Ovis aries: one gene and its partner. The protein of the gene in region 1 purifies or fractionates together with the protein of each later gene. This does not show direct contact. Links are inferred from orthologs where the notes say so. Each region holds a gene or a part of one and is shown in the gene's direction. Other genes may lie near its edges. The genes, in order: WASHC3 and CAPZB.

What was found.
Region 2: the proteins of WASHC3 (region 1) and CAPZB purify together in Homo sapiens (co-immunoprecipitation; 4 studies listed by BioGRID and IntAct, with this or other methods). This does not show direct contact. The link is inferred for Ovis aries from reciprocal best matches to the Homo sapiens genes WASHC3 and CAPZB.

Annotation. Positions count from the first base shown.
Region 1 is NC_056056.1:171,453,228-171,457,051, reverse strand, and holds part of WASHC3 (WASH complex subunit 3), read left to right. Parts: intron 1-1,560; coding exon 1,561-1,668; intron 1,669-3,824. UniProt on the Homo sapiens protein: Acts as a component of the WASH core complex that functions as a nucleation-promoting factor (NPF) at the surface of endosomes, where it recruits and activates the Arp2/3 complex to induce actin polymerization, playing a key role in the fission of tubules that serve as transport intermediates during endosome sorting.
Region 2 is NC_056055.1:246,877,390-246,881,256, forward strand, and holds the start of CAPZB (F-actin-capping protein subunit beta), read left to right. Parts: upstream 1-770; 5' UTR 771-3,867. UniProt on the Homo sapiens protein: F-actin-capping proteins bind in a Ca(2+)-independent manner to the fast growing ends of actin filaments (barbed end) thereby blocking the exchange of subunits at these ends.

The DNA of each region.
Region 1 (3,824 bases):
AGATGCTAATATATTTTTGTGACTTTGTTCTGTTATCAAAAAAAACTGACCTGAAAAAATATTTATTGACTATTTATAATCCATGGGCTTGCCAAGAGTTGGACACGACTGAGTGACTGAACTGAACTGAAGGAAGTGAAATTACTAATATCTTCTAGCATAGGGATCAGAATGTCTGATTTATGCTTTTACATCTTCCTGTGGTCTTCAGCTACTGTATTTCCCTCGGAACATTTCTTTAGCTTGTAATTTAGGATATTTGGCCTTGAACATGTTCAAAATAGTTTCTTAGCAGCCATACCCACTTGAAACTATTAGGGCCATAGCCAATGTGCTAAATACTGTCATCAGTCAACAGTTTTCAATGAATATTGTTGCTTTAGATCTTATTGCCATTGTTTTTTTCATTATTCTTTATTATGAATATGTATATTATTTTAATGTTTGTGGAATTCTTAAGTTAGAGTCCACGGTCACAAGTTAAGTTGCCATGTGGACAGGTTAACCTTAATTATTTCCATGACCATAGAGTTAATTCCTTAAAGTTAGCCAAACATTTGACAGATGTGTGTCACTGATACCAGAATGAAATCAGAAAAGAATGTTTGCATGGATCTTGGAAATCCAACCTAAAATGCTTAACCACTGACATCATGCTCATTTTTTATGTATGGAAACTAACACATTGTAGTAACATAAAGTGATATTACTAAAGAAAGAAGAAAAGAATAAGCTGCATCATATGTTAACATGTGGCAAGAGTTTTCTCATTTCCCAGATTATTCAAACTTAAAATGTGCTACAGAGCACATTTTGAAGGGGAACAAAATATATTTAATCAAAATCTTTTTACAAATTTGGGATGTAAGTTTTCTTATCCCCCACTGTACAGGTGAGAAAATTGAGGCCTAGGAAGATTTGCACAGGGTTACATATGTTGTCGGAGAAGGCAGTGGCACCCCACTCCAGTACTCTTGCCTGGAAAATCCATGGACAGAGGAGCCTGGTAGGCTGCAGTCCATGGGGTCGCCAAGAGTCGGGCACGACTGAGCGACTTCACTTTCACTTTTTACTTTCATGCATTGGAGAAGGAAGTGGCAATCCACTCCAGTGTTCTTGCCTGGAGAATCTCAGGGATGGGGAAGCCTGGTGGGCTGCCATCTATGGGGTCGCACAGAGTCGGACATGACTGAAGCGACTTAGCAGCAGCAGCAGCAACATATGTTGTGACTTAAACCTTGGCAATCTGACTCCAAAGCCCATGCTCTCATTCCTTACACCAGGATTCCTTATTAAAAAAATAATAATTCCTGAGAAAGAATGGTGACAACCTAAATTAGATTAGTGAAAAATTCTTCAAAAATATTTTATTTGTCAATCCCTTTCACTTTTAAGTAGTTTATGGCATGGAGAATTTCAACCAAAGATGAGATTTTATGAAACCACTTCTATAGCTTTAAAACTTAAGAAAACTATTTGAAACACAACACATACTTAGAAACTTACTCTTTAAAGATCTAATATTATCCTCATATACCAACATTAATTTTCTCCTCTCAGTTATCATCTATCCCGGGCCTAGATGATGTCACATTTGAAGTATCTCCTGTAAATGTCACTAGGATCACAAATGGAACACATTCTGAAGCCACTTCAGAGCAATCACAGGTATGTAATTAAGTTCCGGGAAGCATGAGCACCTCTTCTTGGGTGAACCAGATAGACCAAATCTGCAGGTTCAAATAAAGAAGCTAAATAAAAATATAGCACTTGATTAATAATATTTTAAACTTTAAGATAAAAAATACAGTTTGAAAAAAGTTATTAGCTTTTCATTTTATTATTCTGAACAGTTTCCTGAAGTTAATATTTTTCTTGCCTATAAAACAGAAATTTGACCTATACAGGACTAGGAATAATCTTGACTATAACTACTTTCTTCAAGTTCCCTCTGGAAATTTTTTTCTTGGTTCTTGTAAGAAATGTGTCTTTTAAATGTTTTAGTATGACATTTTCACACATGAATAAAAATAGAATAGTTCAATGACTAACCAAGTGCCCGTTACCTGGATTCACCAGTTGAGATTTTGTTGCATTGCTTCATCTGTCTTTTTTTGTCACTGAAGTGAATTCCAGGCATCATATCTTTTCACCCATGTATAATTCCCTGAGCATCTATGAAAAGTTCTGACATTTTCGTGTATAACCACAATGCCTTCATCATATACAATATAATGAGCAATAATTCCCTGATAATATCTAACTCTTTGTTACCAAAACTCTGCTCCATGGGCCAGCAACCTACCTGAGAACTTGTTAGAAATACAGAATCTCAGGTTCCACCCCAGACCCACTGAGTCAGAATTTTCATTTTAATAAGATCCGTATGTGATTTGAAGGCTCTTGAAATTTGAGAGGTCCTAATCTAAGAAATACCACTTGTCTCAAAGAGTGTGTTTGGGGAGTTGATTTGTTCAAATCAGCGTCCTTGTAAGGCCTGCACTCTATGTTTGGCTCTTATGTTTTAATGTTCATTTATGCACTGTAAAAATTTAAATTGTGTATTACTTTTTATTTCAAGAAATAAAAATTCTTCATTGTAGAATAATTGCTAGTATATCTCAGTGAGGTATTAAAATCCAAAATAAGATAATCAAAAATGGTGGTCTAACAAGTAATACCAAACAAACAGACTTCCTATGTATATGGAATTTTGCATTTGTACCTGGAGGTACTTTTTATGGGATATCTTTTAGATCATTATGATGTTGACTGTGATTGTAATACCTCCCATGTAAAGGTTTCTGACTGTATATGTGGTGTGTTAAGTGCTTTTTATAAATTAACTCATTTAATTCTCACAACAGCCCTATGAAGTAAATACTTTTATAAGTTCTATTAATACTTTACAGGTATATCAAATGAGATACACAGAGGTTAACTTGTTGAAGGTCAGACAATAAATGTAAGAACTAGAATTTTTACCCAAACAATCTGGTGTCAAGAATCCTATCTCTTATCTCCTACACTGCACTGTCTCTAGCACCTGTGTTGAATTCATAAAACATAACTCACTCCATATTCTTGCATGGAAAATTTCATGGACAGAGGAGTCTGGCGGGCTATAGTCCATGGGATCACAAAAAGTCGGCCACAACTGAGCAACTGAGCACATGTGGTCCAAGGCTCTGTGTGGGAGGAGCTATAATTTAGAAATATTGTATATTCGGTGGATGAATTAGATGACTGTTTACTTAACAGTTAGGCCTTCCCTGATAGCTCAGTTGTAAAGAATCCACCTGCAGTGCAGGAGACCCCAGTTTGATTCCTGGGTTGGGAAGATCTCCTGGAGATGGGAAAGGCTACCCACTCCAGAATTCTGGCCTAGAGATTTCCATGGACTTCTCTGGCCTAGAGAGGTCTATGGGGTTACAAAGAGTCAGACATGACTGAATGACTTTTGCTTCACTTCGCTTTACTTAACAATTAGGTATTAGAAAATTTAACATCCATTTAATTAATATAACAAATTCCATTGTGATGATCACTGGAATATATATAATATACAAAAATAAATTCAAATGTTTAGAGGAGTTTTAACTTTACAAGGTTTTATCAATTAAAGATAAACCATCCTTTTTCTAAAACAAGGCATATGTAAAAGCTATTACATGTTTCCATTCTACCTAGTAGGTATTCTTTGGTGGATACTAGCCATTATTATATTTCTATAAATTTATAAAATGATATCTGACTTTCAGTATTAACTTTTCCAGGTGTTACTGTGCACGCCCATATATAATATGTATTTAAAACTTGTACAA
Region 2 (3,867 bases), on another chromosome or scaffold:
GCGCAGGAGGCGACGCTGCCAGAGCCGGCTGCCCTGCGGCCACAGGCGAGGCGCTGTGCGCGGGGTTCTGTCCCTCTGGGGTGCTCTGGTCCTGCCTGAGCCTGTGTGAGCAAACTCCTAAGACCCTGTGAGCTGGGTTTTCCTTGTGGGTTAAAACAGGGATGATAGTAATAAAGTCCACATGAAATTGAGAAGCTCCAGTAATAAAGAAACCGCAGTGCTCAGCCTTCAAGCGTGAAGCGCCAGGTCCCGGGGGGTGGGGCGGGGCGGTTCACACCCATTCCCTTTTCCAGTGGACAAATGGTCCCCGAAGGCCGGCAACGTTATGTCCACTTTACAAGGAGTAAACCAGACCCCTGAGAGATGAGGGTTCGTGCTCAGCCCAGCGCACCTCCCTGCTTTGCACTCCGTAAAGCTCTGGATGGTCGTAATCTGTCGTGCTGACCCTCTGGAGTTCTTTCTTTTTTTTTTTTTGGCCATGCTGGGCAGCACGTGGGATCTTCTTTTCCCGACTGACTGAGGGAAGTTGAACCTACGCCCCCTGCTTTGAAAGCACAGAATCTTAACCACCAGACCGCCAGGGAAGTCCTGGGGCTCTTCTTAACGCGCTCCCTGGAGAGTTTTGCTGCAAAGGTCTTCTAGAGAGTTGCAGAGTACATTGAACAAACTGATTTGAAATATATATGTCGAGTGCCTACTGCGTGCTAGCCATCGTTATAGGGACTCAGCAGTGAACGCCATGGACAAATGGCCCTCAAAGAGCACTCCTTTTTGTGTGCAAGGCTGACCAAAACAGACAAGTAGGGACTTCCCGGCTGGTCTGGTGGTCGGGAGGGGGCAGGGTTCCATCCCTGTTCAGGGAGCTCCCACCAGCTCCATGGCACAGCCAAAAAAAAACCCACTCCACACAAACAAGTATATATTATGCCTTGTGATGCTAAGTTCTGGGAAGCAGAATAAAACAGGGAAGGGGGATTTTATATCCAATGGCCAGAGAAGGCTCTGTGATGACAGCTGTGTTCACCACTCAGATACTGAGGTCTACAAGAGCATCATCTCCATAAGAACAGAGCCCTGGGGTCTTTTTGGTCCCTGTAGCGCCGGTCCCCAGCAGAAGTTCGGCTTCTCAGGAGGTGCTGAATGAACATTGGTTGAACAAGTGAATAAACAAACAGCCATCATTTCAGAAACCTCCACATCAGGGTAGGCACGGGGTTTTGGATTCACGTGCCATCAGCTGACTCTTAGGGAGAACCTTTTGTGTGCCAGCCTCCACGACCACAGAACAGCCCTTTCCTCTGAAGATCTTCGCTAAGGATGAGGGTGGTGGCCGCGGTGTTTAGCCAGTAGGTCAGGACGGACTCTTTTGCAACCCCATGGACTGTAGCCCATCAGATTTCTCTGTCCATGGGATTTCCCGAGGCAAGAATACTGGAGTGGGTTCCATTTCCTTCTCCAGCGAATCTTCCAGATCCAGGGATCAAAACCCATGTCTCCTGCATTGGCAGGCAGGTTCTTTACCCGCTGAGCCCCGACGGAAGCCCCCCAAATACGAGTACATGCATGCTAAGTCGCTTCAGTCATGTCTGACTCTGCAACTCCATCATAACCCACCAGGCTCCTCTGTCCATGGGGATTCTCCTGGCAAGAACACTGGAGTGGGTTGCCATTTCCTTCTCCAGGGGGATCTTCCCGACCCAGGAATTGAACCCAGGTCTCTTAAGTCTCCTGCATTGGCAGGCGGGTTCTTTACCAATAGTGACACCACCTCGCAATCTAACAGCTGAGAAGAGAGCAAAGAGAACAAGGGAAGAACAAGGGGTTAAGTGCAAAGAGTAAGAGTTTCAGGGTCAGGAAGGAGTTCAGCAAGTGTATTGCCTGACTTTTTTCTTTTTTTTTTTTGATGCAAAAATAGCTAGTTCTGCTTTTTGGACTGAGGCTCGCTGAGTCAGGGGTTCAAAGAGAAGACCATGAGGGTGGGAGTGGCCGATGTCATCCACAGCAGATGGTGATGCCCCAGAGACAGGCTGTGTCCTCCACCCCCTCTGGCCCAGGAATCAAGGTCGGGGCAGACAGCTAAGCTCAGCTCCCTGGGGACCCCCTCTCTGCCTCTCTACCGGGCCAGCCCATCCCGAGAACATCACCCTTGTTCCACCCTTGGACTCCACATCAGGCTCAGGAGAGTCTCAGAGGCCAGGGGTGTGAGAGGAATCGTTCCAGCATCTGTTATGAACCGTTATTTCCATTCCTTTGGCCGAGTTTTCTCCCGAGCCCTGAAGGCACTAGGTCAGCGCTGCTTTCGGCCCAAATGTCTGATGTCCCAGGCCTTCCTTCAGCCTCACAAAAGAAGGGGATGATTATTAAAAGAACAGACGTTGCATTCCATATTTACCCCAGATGACACTGCCTTGATCCCTAAAATAACTCCAGACCTCCTGGATGGAACTTGCTCGTTCTTTTTCATCTTGCTCTTATGCAACTGTTTATGGAGAACATCACCATAGTGATATCAGAGCGGGTCAAGTGAAACGCCAACCCCTTGGGTGGTTATTGGTTTCCCTTTGTAACTTGAAACATGACTTTTTCACCCCAGATCTACTCTTTCATTTCTTCTAAGCACTTCAGTTCTCCGCTCCAAGTCAACAGCAGTACTTTCTGACAGATTCCCAGCAGTTAAAACCACAGAGGTGGTCCACACTGGGGTGGGCGATGGAAGTACTTGGGCTGAGTTTCCAAACTGGAAACTATATTTACCAGAAATCTTTCCTTCAGATAAAACTCGGGTCAAAGTCTCAGAGTGCTGAAAGAGGCACTAAATAAACGGAAAGTCTAAAGAACCTTCAGTGCTTGCTCCAAGGAACAAGACTACAGCGTTCAACAAATAAACACAGCTGGCGCGGGGACAGCCTTTAGCAAATACTTATCTTCTTGATTATTTATTTTTTTTCATAATCATCATCTTGGCCAACAGCCCTTATTATAGCATTCTCATACGCTGTTGGTGGGAGTGTGAATTTAGAAGACTTTTCTAATAGAAAACTTGGCAATGGGTAGGAAAAGCCTTGACAGGGTGCTCTTTCTGTGAAGCAAATGTCTATTCATGGGTTCTGAGAAAATCATTAGGAATGTGAGCAGAGAAATTCATACAAAGGTGTTCATTGCTAATAGTGGTGGAAGAATGGAAAAAATCAAACGATACAACACGAGGGGATTGCTTTAAAAGAATCACTATTTATCCATACGATAGATACTAAGCCAGAATTACAAATCACACTACAGGAGACTCTTTAATAACGTGTAATACATTCACGATGTGTTCTCAGATAGGAAAAAAGCAGGTAACAAAAATGTGCATGCAATATGATCCCATTTTTGCGAAACATGTATGCACATGGAAGGGAAAAAGGGTAGAAAGATAGGTTCTAAAAAGATGAGCCGTGATTATTCCTTGGGTAATTTTCTGGTTTGGGTGTTGTATCTATAATTTTTACAATAAGCATGTAATTCTGTAGTCAGATGTTTAAAAAGCTATTTTAAAGAAGAATAAGCTGCCATGCCTTTTAAAATCACCTCTGATGGACTTTATGGGCAGAAACAGACTCTTAGTCTAAGAACGTCCTTGTATAAATCTCATAAGATAGAAAGTGCTCAACCATCTCTTGTTGTGGTTGAAGATAATGAACTGTACGGTACCTGGGGCCAATAAATATTAAGCAACTATGGGTTTTCCGCCTATTTAGAGTTTACCATCAGAGATGTACAAGGCTGGGTCTTCCCTGGTGGTCCAGGGGCTAAGATTCCACACTCCCGATGCAGGAGGCCTTGGTTCAATCCCTGGTCAGGGAACTAAATCTCATACGCTGCAAC